Diceros bicornis minor: one gene and its partner. The protein of the gene in region 1 interacts with the protein of each later gene in a pairwise test. Links are inferred from orthologs where the notes say so. Each region holds a gene or a part of one and is shown in the gene's direction. Other genes may lie near its edges.

Evidence for each region. The genes of interacting proteins can lie anywhere in the genome.
Region 2: the proteins of EIF1AD (region 1) and GLYR1 interact in binary tests that used the Homo sapiens proteins (3 or more experiments, as listed by UniProt). The two-hybrid records come from large-scale screens. The link is inferred for Diceros bicornis minor from reciprocal best matches to the Homo sapiens genes EIF1AD and GLYR1.

The regions. Positions count from the first base shown.
Region 1 is NC_080770.1:7,291,639-7,298,902, forward strand, and holds the start of EIF1AD (probable RNA-binding protein EIF1AD), read left to right. Parts: upstream 1-4,203; 5' UTR 4,204-4,445; intron 4,446-5,026; exon of another isoform or gene 5,027-5,045; 5' UTR 5,046-5,182; coding exon 5,183-5,269; intron 5,270-5,414; coding exon 5,415-5,523; intron 5,524-5,634; coding exon 5,635-5,743; intron 5,744-5,908; coding exon 5,909-5,959; intron 5,960-6,789; coding exon 6,790-6,934; 3' UTR 6,935-7,264. Other genes in the region: BANF1 (barrier-to-autointegration factor), read right to left, coding at 2,509-2,655, 2,893-3,015.
Region 2 is NC_080765.1:43,772,007-43,779,273, forward strand, and holds the start of GLYR1 (cytokine-like nuclear factor N-PAC), read left to right. Parts: upstream 1-4,263; 5' UTR 4,264-4,283; coding exon 4,284-4,321; intron 4,322-5,335; coding exon 5,336-5,372; intron 5,373-6,321; coding exon 6,322-6,401; intron 6,402-7,267. UniProt on the Homo sapiens protein: Cytokine-like nuclear factor with chromatin gene reader activity involved in chromatin modification and regulation of gene expression. Acts as a nucleosome-destabilizing factor that is recruited to genes during transcriptional activation.

The DNA.
Region 1 (7,264 bases):
CTACTGATAAGCATCAGTTTCCGACAAATCGCATAATTGCTGTATCCCCAGGTCTTTATTTTTGATTTCCCTTTTATCCTTCTACCATTCTGCGATGTAGCTAACAGACAAAAAAGTACACAGAACACGTCTGTTCTCTTTTAACAGACGGAGTCAACGCCTGTGGTACCACCACTCATCACTCCGGCCTCCCCCCAAAAGGTCATCACTGCCACTCTGTTTCTTTACCTTTGACTTTTGCAATAAACATTTCATTTTTCTAGTTTTACCACCTGTGTAGCAATCTCCAAGCAAGAATTCACTTGTTAACTTTACATGAAGGGGATCAGACGATGTGATGGCTTGTTTCATTCGCTTGAGGTTGGGATTCACCGGTTGTCCACAGCTCTCACCTGTTCCTCTTCACTGGTATTGATAGGCTGACATAAGAAGGCCGCTGCGAACGTTCACACGGGTGCTGGTGCAGGTACGTGTCCTCGGTCACAGCCCCCGGAGTGGAACTGCTGCGTCACAGGGTGGGTCTTATCTTCATTTTTACTAGAAAACGCCCGAATGTTTTTTCCCAAGTGTTCATACCAATCTACACTCCCACCACCTGGCTCTCAGTTCCTCTTGCTCTGTTCCCTCATCAGCACAGGGCATTGTCTAAATTTTTGCCAGTCCAGTGAGTGTATAATGGCATCTCATTTGCATTTCTGATTACTAATACAATCCAGCACCTTTTCATAGGCTTATTCACCATATGGGTATCCACTCTGGCTGCCTTGTGGGTCTTCTACCCACTTTCCTATTGTGTTGTCTGCTTTTTCTTGGCTACAGACCTTTGTTATCTTTGGGTGTTGCAAAGCTCCTTCCCCACCCTGGGTTGACAAGTCTCCTCGCTCTCTTTATGGTATCTTTAGACGAGCGAAGTTTCTATTAACGGAGTTGAATTTATCAACTTTTTAGTTTTTGCCGAGGAAGATTGTCCCTGAGCTAACATCTGTGCCCATTTTCCTCCACTTCATGTGGGACACTGCCACAGCACGGCTCGATGAGCGGCGTGTAGGTCCGTGCCCAGGATCTGAACCCGCAAACCCCTGGCCGCTGAGGCAGAGCAAGTGAACTCAACCACTCTTCCACTGGGCCAGCCCCTATCAACTTTTTCTTCTTAATTTTTCCCTACTCTGAGATCATGAAAATTTTCTCATATTAGTCCAATTTTTGTATTTAACATCTGTCATTCTCTCCTCAGCAGACTTAAGCCATCTAAAGAAAATTCTGTAAGAAAATTCTCAACGATGCTCTGCTGAAGGAATGAAAGCCAAGCAGGCCTGGGTGCCCACAGCTAGCATCTCACCTGATCTTTACCACCACCTCATTTCCCAAGTGGGGAAACTGAGGCTCAGAGAGGAAGAGTGACAGGACTAAGGAACACAGGGCTCTCAGGTACATGGGCTTCCAAGTTACTTTCTGAGGGCCAGCCTGGCTACTTCCTAAGCAGTAAGTCCATGGACAAATCACTTAGACTCTCTGAGCCCCTCACTTCCTCACCTGTACAAGAGAAAACACTTTCTTATTGTGGAAGAAAAAATGTTTGCAAAGATCTTAGTTGTGAGCCTAGTTCATACTAAGTGTTCAACAAAGAACAGGATGAAAATGTACCAAATGAAAGTGTAACTCACTTGAGCCCCCAGCTGTGATGCCCATGCTCTTTCTGCCTCCCTACGAGAGCAGGACAACCAGCAAGAGCACTGCCCACTCCTCCAGAGGCCAGGAGAGCACATGAGGATGGGCAGGGGAACTCTTACCCATTCTTAGCTGGTCCACCCTCTTCCTGCCACCTCTCACTCCCACTGACTTTTCCTCCAGGTGCTGCCTAGCCCAGCTGTTGACTCCACTGACATCTGGAACACCACAGCCCATATGGATCCCAGGAAGAATCAACCCACACCCTCTCCCACATCACTAAGGGATTGAGACACTCCGAGGCACCTGCTGGAGGCCCACGTGGCTGGGGCGGCTGCCCTCCAGGCTGGGAAGGAAGCTGCTACTTTCAACCTGCGCTGATAAGGAGGGCAGCACACCTGGTCAGTCTCTGGTGAAAAGGCGACTCCCAGCCCACCTGCTGTTCACACACGAAGCCCAGTCATGAAGGCCACTGACTTTATTGATTTAAAAAACTCTGTAAGGACAGTGACTGTTCTGCCAAAAAACGAGCCAAATGGCATAAAACAGACCACAGGTGAGGGTGGGAGTGAGGATAGGGGCCAGGAATCCACTCAGAAAAGCTGGTAATTGTCAACATGAAACTGGCAGGGGAAGGGGAAGGCAGGTGCATGCAACAGCAAGATTTCCAAAAAAGTTGAAATGGTGAAGGGAGAGAACTCCCCAAAGACTCGAGTACATCGGAGGTGAGACACAACAGCAACCTTTTCCTTTGTAGAGGACGGGAGAGGAGTCCCCACTTGGCTGCAAACTCTGCAGACTCAAGGCTAGGGCTGGGGTTTGGGGGCTCTGTGGGGAGCATCACAAGAAGGCGTCGCACCACTCTCGCAGGCACCCAAAGCAGTCCCGGGACTGCTTGGCGTTGGCGCCGCACGTGTCCTTCAGCCATTCCCGGAAGAGGTCTTCATCTTTCTTTAGCACCAGAAACTGGCCAAGGACCACGTAGGCCTACAAAACAGGCAAAGAGGAAATGCCATTAAGTACTCTGTGGGACTAAGAATAAGACCCTTAGTGTGGCATCAAAGCACAGGAGCCTGGAAGGCAGGGCAGGCTCTGCCTATGTCTTCAGCTTACACACCCCCAACAAGTACACTCACATTCCTCACTCCCAAACTACAAGAAACATTGCAGGCTGTCCCCTACCCGGCCCCCAGCCCTCCCCAGGTGCACGCAACCACCCCACACCTTGTCAAAGCCCCTTTCCTCCAGCTTCTTGCCCAGGACTTCACCAATCCCGGCCAAGCTCCCCACTGGCTTTTCCCCCATGGGTTCTGCCACGAAGTCTCGGTGCTTTTGAGAAGTTGTCATCTTGATCAGGCTGAATCTGGGAATCCCAAGAAAAAGTAGGTTAGGGCTGAAAACCTGGGCACTCCAGAAAGCCCATGAGCAATCTCATTAAGAGGAAGCTGGACCAGCCATGATGGTGGTTTTACTCGAGTCCCCTCATTTCACGGATGAGAAAACTGAAACCAAGGAAATTCTTTTCCCCACTGTTCAAGAGAAATCTCTTCCACTCCCCGTGGGAACTGGGTTTTGGTATTGCTCCAGAGGAAAATCTATCTTGCCCTAACAGGTGGCGCGCGCGGAGCAGTGGGAAGAGTCCCAGGGTGAGTAGCCAGGGGCCGCCCTGAGGCTGTCACTCCCTCTGTGACCTTGGCTGGGCAAAGAAGACACTGGTTGTACCTGGACCGGCTACCTGCTCTGAAAAACAAACGAGTGGTCGGTCTGCCCCACACGCCCCACAGCGCTCACAGGGCGCAGGCGCAAGCCGGAGCGCGCACACCCGCTCCTCCAGCCCCGCGGCCCGCCTGGGCTCCCGCCCCGTCCGCCCGCCGTGCTGGCTCCGCCCCCAGCGCGCCGCCCCGCCCCCTCCGCGCGCCTACGCGCCCACGCGCCGCCCCGCCCTCTCCCTGCATCGCGGCCAAGCTATCTGCGAGGGCGCATCTTCCGTCCCGCCTGGCACATGCGGCCCCTTCCCTCCTCTCTTCCCCGCGCCTCCTCTGGCCTCCAGCCCAGGCCCCGCTCAGCAGCTCGTGCTCACCCGCGGCTCCCGTTCCCGTAACGGCTCCTCCCGCCACCGGCTGCTCCCGCCGCTACCTCAACCCACTAGAACTTTCTTCCACTTCCGCTTCCGGGTCGCCTCAAGAGCCGCCTTAAAAAAAAAAAATCTAAATTGGGCACTTCTAGCCGCCTAGAGCCATAGAGATGAGGCGCTCCGGAGCTCGACGGTGCCTTTAGTAGGCGCTTCTTTCTGGTCGCTTCGCGGGAAGCGGGGGTCCTTTCTATGATCTCGCTTCTGGGACAGCATTTCCGGTCTCGGGGAGCGGAGGCCTCGGAGGAGAAAACTTCATTTCCTCGCTGCCCGGCACCCGGAACTCTAGGACTTAGCCTCGGCCGACCTGGCGGGGGGAAGAGTTAGAGAGACGGACAAGGGCCGGGGGGGGGGGGGGGGTGGCCGAGAGCTTCCGAGAGCGCCGGAAGTACGGTGCTCGGAAGGGACCGACGCAGGCTGACTCGCGTTGTCGTCGTCGGCGTCGGGCTTGTAGGAGTCTGGAGGGATGCGGAGGTGCGGGAGACCTGAGTCCGAGTCGACACCACCGTCGTGACCGCCGGCAAGTCCCTTTTCTGTGCCTTCCTTGGCTCAGCTGCCAAGTGTGTCGTGGAGGAACCGCTCTTAGCCTCCAGCCTGGAGAAACGGGGTCGTTCAGGCAGCACTCGTGGGAGACGAGGGCCAGAGAGTAAGTGTGGGTCTCTCTCTGAGCGTCTTTCCTGCGGGATAGGGAGGGAGGAGGGGTGGGAGGGCAACTAGAGGTGACACTTCGGAGTTTCGTTTGGAAGCCATCGATCTTGGTGGTACCAGTGCTTGTCTTCTCAGTAGCCAAGTCACAAATATCGCAGATGCCGCAGACCAAGCCGGCTCACCCTGACCTTCAGTTAATTCATTCTTAGCTTGGACTATCGCGATGGTCTCCCGCCTGGTCTCTACCTGTAATGTGTTGAGAGATTGAGCATCTGTGTTGTGTGGCTATGCTATGCCTGTAATGTACAAGCGTGCTGAGAACGATGCGATTTATCTCATCCTCCTTCCCGAGCTGTTACCAGAATGATTTATTACTCTAGAACACGTAGGTTTTATGATTATGCTAGTACTTACAATATGAGTTGTTGTATGTGTCGTACACCATGCTAAGGGCTCTCTTGTCATTTTCTCCTAACAGTAATGCTTTGCGTTAGCTATTATTTTTTTTTTGAGGCCTAGGGAAGTTGAACACCTAGGAATAGCCAAGATAGGGTTTGAATCGAAGCAATTGGATTTCAGAGGCGACATTCTTAACCAGGACGCTGTGTCACTCCTCAGTAAAAGGCTCCTCCTCATCTTCAAAACAGTTCTGGGTTCTGAGCCTGCCGTCCAAGAAACTCAGAAGGAGGAGTTGACAGTCTCTGCGTCCCTCACCTGCCTGGGACAGGACCCGGCATGTCTCAGGCCACCAAGAGGAAGCATGTGGTGAAGGAGGTGCTGGGGGAGCACATGGTGCCCTCTGATCAGCAGCAGATCGTGCGGGTGAGTGGCATTGGGCACAGGCTGCTCTGCCCACTACTCCTCCACTCCCATTGGGCCCCTGGGGTGAGAGCAGGGTGCACTGTAGCTCAGAGGGTGTTCAAGCTGGCTGATCAGCCTGACTGGTTCTTGGTCTCTCCTGGACCAGGTACTCAGGACCCCAGGGAACAATCTGCATGAAGTGGAGACAGCCCAGGGGCAGCGCTTCCTGGTAAGCATGCCTTCCAAATACCGCAAGAACATCTGGATCAAGAGAGGTGAGAGAGGCAGCTCTGGGGGGGGCGAGGGGCGGGCAGAACCATTTTCGTTGCCTTTGGCTTTCCCCACTGCCAGCAGGACTGACTGTCTTTTCTCCTCTTGGTGGACAGGGGACTTTCTCATTGTTGACCCTATTGAAGAGGGAGAAAAGGTGAAGGCTGAGATCTCCTTTGTGCTCTGCAAGGACCATGTGCGCTCTCTGCAGAAGGAGGGGCTCTGGTAGGGCAGGCCCCTTGGTCTTTCTGGCTTCTGGGAGGATTGACTTCCTAGCTGTGGAACTGGGGGAGGGAAGATCATGGCATCCCAGGCGGGGACAGCTGGAAACAGCCTTTTGGCTGAAAGATTTCTCTTTCCTTTTTGACTCTGGCTCTTCTCTTGGCACAGGCCTGAGGCCTTCTCTGAAGTGGCTGAGAAACACAACAACAACAGGAACAGGTGAGGAACAAGCCTTGGGATAGGGAGGACAGAAAATAGGGGTTCAGGCCTTGGTGTCTTGAGGGAAAAATAGAGCTTTCCTTTCTCCCTACATAGGGTTCCTGGTGAGAACTCTTAAACGTGTGCTATAATATATGGTTATGAGCATGGCTTGAAAGTCAGAGGCCCTGGGTTAAAATCTTAGCTTTGCCACTTATAACTGAGTGACTTGAAGCAGCTTACTTAATCTCTTAAGCCTCAATTTCATCACCTTTAAAATGGGAGCTTTGGGGCCGGCCCAGTGGCATAGTGGTTAAGTTCACGCGCTCCCCTTCAGCAGCCCCGGGTTCACAGGTTTGGATCCTGGGCGCAGACCTACACACTGCTCATCAAACCATGCTGTGGTGTCCCATATACAAAATAGAGGAAGACTGGCACAGATGTTAGCTCAGGGACGATCTTCCTCAAGCAAAAACAGAAAGATTGGCAACAGATGGTAGCTCAGGGCCGGTCTTCCTCACTGAAAAAAAAAGAGGGTTGGGGGGAGCTTTGTGAGGGTTAAAGGAATCAGTGTTTATGAAATTGCTTAGTATAGTACGTGGTATATAATGTGGGTCCACTGAGAGTCAGTGGTGGTAGAATGGTTGTTATTAAAACCTGTGGGTCTAGCAAACTTTTGAGGGGGGTTGGGAGGTAGTCTTTAGGCTGTTTTTGCTCTGCCTCTCTCTTTGTCTGATTTGCGGAGCCCTGGCTGCTTGGCCATGTGGTCCTCCTTTTTGTGGGCCTCCTTTATTGCAGATCTGGTTTCCCCAGAAGGCATTGGGCTAACTCTTTCTTTTTTCCCCATGTAGACAGACTCAGCCAGAACTCTCAGCTGAGCCGCAGTCATCAGGAGAAGAGTCCAGCTCTGAAGACGATTCCGACCTCTTTGTTAACACCAACCGCAGACAGTATCATGAGAGTGAGGAGGAAAGCGAAGAGGAGGAGGCGGCCTGAGACCCCAGAACCCACTTTTCCTCTTGCTCAGAGACTCTTTGGCTCCTCTGAGCATGGACATTCCCAGGGTGCTCTGCAGGTCTTCCCCACTGGGTGGGGACAAGGCAGAGCCCCTCTCTGAACTGACCTTCTGACCCAGGAGAATTAAACCCCTGGTGGGTGGTGACTTGTGCTGGTGTCCGAGTCCCTTTCTGGAGGGAAGAGGGACTTGTGATGAAGTTGAAACCTGCTCCTTGGTGGAGGCCTCACGAGCAGGTGGGCTGAATGGGCAGGAAATGGGGAATAGCTGGAATTTTCCTAGGTTCTTTCTGTCTCATTGGGCACTTAGAA
Region 2 (7,267 bases), on another chromosome or scaffold:
GATGTGTTATAGATGTGTAACGTATATTATAAATGTATAACGCCTGCCATATCTTTTATAAGTACTTTTTCCTGCTTCATTATCTACTGCTTAATTTTGCTTAAAGCAAGGTATGATGAAAGAAATTTTAACTTTTTATGCAGTTAAAATTAGCCTCTTCTCCCTTATGGTTTCTCCCGTTTCTTTTATGCCTAGAATGTCCTTCTCCAGCCAGGTAATTCTTGTGTAAGAATTTACCTATCCAGCCTTTTATAGATATATTTTTCACATTGAACTCTTTAACCCAAGTTGAATTTGCTCTGCTATAAGGTGAGAGATGAGGCTCTAACTTGGTTTTTCCCAGCATCAATCACTAATAATCCTTCTTTTCCCTGCTGATTTGGCATATATCATATGTAATGTCTTAGATATCTTAAGATCTATTTCTGAAATCTATCCTGTTATATTAATCTAGTATCTAGAGATTCCTCAACCAGTACCATATTGTTTTGACAAATTTTATATTTTAACATCTTGAATTAAAAATTCATCTTTCTTCTTCTTTTAAAAGTAATACTTGGGTCTTCCAACCTGTTTATCATTTCAGATCAATTTTAGAATCACTTTGACAAGTTCCCCCAAAAAACCTCACTGCATTTTGATTGTAAATGAATCATAAATATGAATTAATTCAGGAAGATTTTACATATATCATATACATCCAAATATATGTATATCTGTATATATGCAATATTCATTCTATTATGATCATAAAATTTTAATCTTTAAGATCAGATAAGGGAATAAAATATCTAAAAACGAAGAGTTAAAATAATTCTAATTAGACAGCAAAGTGATTAGCAGCAAAACAGGTTGGTGGCACAAAAGACCATCATGCATTAAAATGTTAAAAGAAATTCCCCTAAAAGAAACTTTCAAGGCCCCCAGGACATTCCTGATGCACTGGGTTATGAAAATAAGTCCCAGCTGCAAGCTGCAAGTCCCCCACTGATGAGAGCAGGCACAGCCTCACTGTAAGAGAATCTGCAAGTTAACCGATGGGATACAGGAAGGTCATCCTGGAAGCGGCAACCAGGTCCCTGCCCCTGTCTGGGCAGTAATTTAAAAATGTAACCTTAGGGCCGGCCCCGTGGCTTAGCGGTTAGGTGTGCGCGCTCCGCTACTGGCGGCCCGGGGTTCGGATCCCGGGCGCGCACCGACGCACCGCTTCTCTGGCCATGCTGAGGCCGAGTCCCACATACAGCAACTAGAAGGATGTGCAGGTATGACATACAATTATCTACTGGGGCTTTGGGGGGAAAAAAATAAATAAATAAAATTAAAATAACTGTTTAAAAAAATAAATAAAATAAAATAAAAATGTAACCTTATCTTGGCCCAAATTTTAGACATTTTAACTTCAAACCTATATGGTAAATCTGCTTCTCTTAGTTGTGGAGGTGACTTTGCCAGCCTGAGAAGTTATAGAAATAAGACTACAGAATCAAACCTACAGCATATTAACACTTAGATCTTGGATTAAGTTTTATAATCATCATGATAATTGCCGTCACTTGTTACTAAATCATTTGCAATATTTAAGAGAATCAAACATATGAATGGGGGCCAGCCTGGTGGCGCAAGCGGTTAAGTGCGCACGCTTTGCTGCAGCAGTCCGGGGTTCGCCGGCTCAGATCCCGGGCGCGCACCGACGCACTGCTTGGTGGGCCATGCTGTGGCGGCGTCCCATATAAAGTGGAGGAAGATGGGCACGGATGATAGCCCAGGGCCAGTCTTCCTCAGCAAAAAAAGAGGAGGATTGGCATCAAATGTTAGCTCAGGGCTGATCTCACAAAAAAAGAAAAAACAAAAACATATGAATGAATGACTTAGACTTACAATTTTAATTTGAAATCCTTAAGAAAATATAACTTTGAAAGTGTGCGTTTAAAAGAACCTTACATTCACACATTTATTAGCCTTACAAGAGTTAAGTCCTTGGAAAGACTTTACTACTAGCTTTATAAGTTCACCGTTCTATAAGTTTGAAGTATTTGAGAGAAAAAGCATATAAAACTTTAAATGCAGTTTAAAACACTTAAGGGAATTTAACTTTGTAAAGCGAATTCACTGTTTAGAGAAATTTAATCTGTTAAACTGACGCCTTAATCGAAGCTTTGTCAAAGATCAAGTATTTTTATTTATATAAACATTCTTAGATTTGTAAATAAAACAAGATTTGAGTAAAATTTAAAAAGCTTAAGAAAAGCTAAGTATTTAAATACTCAACTTTAATGAGTTGAACATTATTCGAAGTAAAAGCACAGTATTCTACACACAAAAACACCCCTCTTAAAAAACTCAACTGATGTTATCCAAGAAATGCTAGCCTCCTTTTGTATCTCAGAGGTTATTCCCCGGAATTGTATATTTTTTTGTTACACAACATCTTAACTACTATATTTTCAAACGGATTATTGGTGAAACAAAGAAAAGGAGAATTTTGTATACTGATTTTACAATTAGTTTCTTTACAAGTGAACTCTTATTTTAACGGTTTTCCCTTAACTTTTTTTTCAAAATAGGCTGACCTCTCATCCACAGAAATGAGAATTTTGTCTTCTCCTTTCTGAAAAATTATTTTTCTTATTTTTGTTTCACGTCTTATTACATTGGCTAGAACTTCCAGAATAATATTAGACAATATATTCTTTGCCATGTTCCTGACTAACGGGAATGCCTGTAGCCCAGTGCGATGTCAATTTAGGATTTACATATTTTTACCAAGTCATTAAAATACCCTTCCAAGTCCTCAAAAAATAAAAGTTTTTAAATTAGGAATGTGTGTTTAATTTCACTAAATTATTTTTTGGAATCTTAAACATGCTTTAAATGATCAGTTTGTCTTTAAAAAACACAAAACAGTCAATGACAGTTCCTGAAACTAACGGACGGTGTTTTAGGGAAACTGAACGCCCAAGAAAAACCAGGCTTCGAACAAGCTAGTTCGCTAAAAGCCCCTTACAACCCAAGTCTCCGCAGAACAAAACGCCTATGGGAGACGCGGGCGGACCCGCCACCTTTTCAAGCAGGATACGACCCAAGATCAGTCCGGTTCTAAGTTAACTCTTCCCTCGGACTCCCTGGAGTCTGCAACTGGCATTGGGACCTTCTAAATTTTGTTCCCTCCCTGGTGTGCGGACACTTGGGCAGGCGCTGTGCTGAACCGCCGATTACAGTTCCCATTCAGTGGCTTAGTTTTAACGTATCGAGACCGCGCCCGGCACCTGCCTTCCTGTTGTCACAACAGCCTGCGCCCAACTTCCCTCAAAGTGTCAAACTACAGCAAGGCAGACGCGAGAGCCCGGTCCCCACAAAGACACGCACCTTTGTCCCCGGCGCGACGCAGGCTACTGCCCCGCGGGCCGCACTCGTCCCCCGGCGGCCGTCCTCATGCCGGCCCGGGAGCCCGGGCTGCGGCGCCGCTAGCGGCCGGCCCCCGAGCCATGCCTCCCCGCGGGCGGCCGGCCCGCGCCGCGGCCCATGGCCGGGTCCCCGCGCGCCCGGGGGAGCCTCGCGGGCCGTGCCGCCGCGCCCGCCCAGGAGGAAGCGGAGAGACGCCGGCTCCACGTCGGCCGAGCAGCTCGCGACCTCGGGGCGGGATGCACCGGCGCCCCGGGACAACTTGCGGCGCGGACGCGGGCTCGGAGCCGCTCCCCGGACCCCGGCCGTCAGAAAGCAGCCTCCGAAGGACCCGTCGGCCCTCCGGGCGCGGCCACGTAGAGCTCGCCGGGCGCGGGGCCCCGGGCGCGGGCGGAGGCTGGCTTCCAGGCCGCGCCGAGGTCTGTCAGGGCAGCTGCCGGCGCGCCGAGGCGGCCGGCCCCGGGGCCCGCGCGAGACTAACGGCCGTAACGGAAGCGCCGAGGAGGAGGGGGCTGGAGGCCGGGACCCGGGGGCGGGGCGGGGCGGACCGCAGGGCCGGCTCCCTCGCGCTCTCGGCCGGCCGCACAGTCACTACCGCCGCCTCCACCGCCGAATCAGACCGCCGGCGCTTCGTTGTCACGAGCCGGAGGGAGGGGGAGAGGAGCCGGGAGTCTCGGGGCTCCGGCGCGCGGAGACCGCGGCTCCCGGGTCACGTGCCGCTCAGCCGGCCAATGAGCCCCGGCGGGCGCGGTGACGTCAGAGCCGCGGCGTGGCCGCTGACAGCCGGCCCCCGTCACGTGGCCGGGCGCACTCCAATGGGCGGCGCCGGGGCGCCCTGATGTTCCCGGCGGCCCGTGCGTCGGCCGTGGTTGGGTGGTAAGATGGCGGCTGTGAGTCTGCGGCTCGGCGATTTGGTGTGGTGAGTCCGGGCGGCCGGGGCCGAGCGAGGTGCGCCGCGAAGCTGCACCCCTGGGCACGGGGGTCGCCGCCAGCTTCGGAGCTGCCCTTCTATGCGCTCCAGGCCGCGAGAGAGGGCGAGACGAGGTGCCGGCGCTGGGAGCGACGCCGGGCGGAAGGGGCAGCCCGGCCCCGGGGGACTGAGGCCGAGGGTGGCCGCGGCGGGCCGGTCTCTGAGCCCCGGACCCGGACGCCGGCGGCCACGGTGGAGGGAGTGCCCGGTGCCGCGCGGCTCCTGCGGACGCCGGGTCCTCGAGGTCTTGCCCAGGCGTCTCGGAAAGCGGCAGAGTCGGGGAGCTGGCGGGGCCATCTCGCCGGGCGAGCCCGTCAAAACCCGCGTTGCGATGGAACCGACCTGTGCGGCGGCTCGGCCCGGGGTGTCGAAACCGGACTGTTGGCGCTGCCCCGTGAAGAAATGGAGGGGGGACTTCTCCTTTACACTCGGAGGCTTGGCGGGGACTAGTGCCTTTCTGGGTGCCTTCGTGGTCCGCTCGTGTGTCCCAGACAACCGCCCGAACTGAGACTGACGCTCGCCGTCTCCCTGGAGCTGCGTAGCTCGTTTCCCGACCCAGAGGAAGGCTCCCATTAGCATTTGTCAGAGCCGGGCCGTCCCGCGGTGAATTAAACCAGACTTGGCGAGGGGAAGTCTGTGTTTACAGAGCACACTGCTCCCCGCCCCCGTCCCGGGGAGGCTCTAGACAAGTGATTCTTGTGGTTTCATTATTGTGTATTTGTTGTCACCAGGAGAATGCACATACCTTATGCACATACGTTTACAATTTTGCATCCCAGCTCTGAGGGATTTGGGCCTCTTGGGCCCAGCTGTGGAAGCCAGATTAAGAACTCCTGTTTGCAAACTTGTTCTGGCACTTGAGGGTGCGAGTGGAGATTTAGAAAATAACTTGCATGTTGAGTGGGTTGAAGGAGATGGACTGGCTTTTCCAAGGCAAATGCTGATTCTCTGTGTTTTCTCTAGGGGGAAACTCGGCCGGTATCCTCCTTGGCCAGGAAAGGTGAGTGTGTTCTACTACTAGAAGCTACTACAGGAAGACATCTGAAGTTGCGTTTGAGAAGGTAGAGAATGTAAGATGCACCCGCCTCAATTTCTAGCATTGGGTCAAACTGGGCCTACTTAAATGACACTCAGAATTTTTTTTTCTCTATTATCAGTTTGTTTAGAAAAAGCAATATAATATAAACCAGGTCATTTAATCTACAGTAAATGCTTATTTCTTGAATCAGAGAGAGTTGTGGTGAAGTCTTTTAACTCTGGAAATCAATTCTAACTTGAATATAGCTTTACAGTTAAATCTAACAAAAAGAGAGGAAAATAAATTCTCCAGGAAGAGAGAAATCTAAATGTAGGTTAGTGAAAAGTCAAAGTATTTTTGTCCCAACTAAGTTTAAATCTTTCCATGTTACCATATGTGCTGCTCTCTCCAGTGCATCTTTGCAAAAGTTGGCATTCCAAATTTTGCATGAGGCGATCCGTCATAGCTTTCCAAATGTTCTGTTGTTATATTCTTGTTTGGAGCCCGGGAAATGTCTTTAGACTGTCTCTTTGCAATATGGCATTTTCAGTGCCTCGGTTGTCCTTCTTTGTCACTATTACCTGTCACAACTCTTCCTGCACACAAGTATTTTTAAGAGTGTCCTGTGTATTTCTTCAGTGATGACAAGGTCACACTGGGGGCAAATAATGTTGGTCTTAGTTGTAAATGCTTTTAAAATGCGGCCATTGCAGTAAAGGGGATATTGTATCTATTGAATGCTGTGCTACATGTTAGATGTAGGAACTTCTGGAATATTTGCATGTTTCCTCACATCATGATAAAGTGCCACATTTGGACGTGTGCTAGGCTCTGGGTTCTTTTTCAGTCATATTCCTTTTGTTTTATTTAGGTTTTTTTCTTGTTAATTTGGAGCTGTGGAAAAAAACTTTTTTTCCCTTTTATCCCCCAGATTGTTAATCCACCCAAGGACTTGAAGAAACCGCGTGGAAAGAAATGCTTTTTTGTGAAGTTTTTTGGAACAGAAGATCAGTGAGTAGTGCTCCCCAAGAGTTGCACTGTCCCTTTGTTTGAGCGTTGCCGTGGGTCTGGGCTGCTTTGAGAATATTCTAGGGACCCTAGTTCCTTCTTACTGTAGTGTATAAGAATGGCATATCATTCTGGCTTCTTACCTAAATATAAAGTGCTGTTCTTATCTCGCAGAAATTGTCTTGGGGCCAATAACAATGTCAAGTGAGAATGAGGGTTCACCATCTTCTACATATGGTAATCATGTTGAGATAGTTTCTTACATCTCTTTACCCAACTTCATAGGCAGTTCCTATTATAAGGGCCATGTTTGTTTCTCTTTTTAATGGCTGTTTATCATGTGGCTCATGCATAACGTATACAGCGAAAACTAAAATTTTATTTACCTTAATAAAAGTAGTGGGGCCGGCTCCGTGGCTTAGCGGTTAAGTGCGCGCACTCTGATGCTGGCGGCCCGGGTTCGGATCCCGGGCACGCCCCAAGGCACCACTTCTCCGACCAACCCGAGGCCAAGTCCCACGTACAGCAACTAGAAGGATGTGAACCTATGACATACAACTATCTACTGGGGCTTTGGGGGGAAAAAAATGAATAAATAAAATCTTTAAAAAAATAAAAAATAAAAATAAAAGTAGTTGTTTGATTCTGTTCTCTTTTGTGAAATTAGATGACTTGCTCTAACATTGTAACAGTAAAGCTTTTTAACCAGATCTGTCTTAGAGTTGAAATCAGGACCATCAATTTGAGATTCTTTGATAGGCCATATAACTTACAGTCAGGGAGAGAATGTGTATTTACTTAAGTTTCTGGTGATTTGTTTAGCTGTCTCATCACTACATCAATTTGATTACTTGGGTCTAGCTAGATGG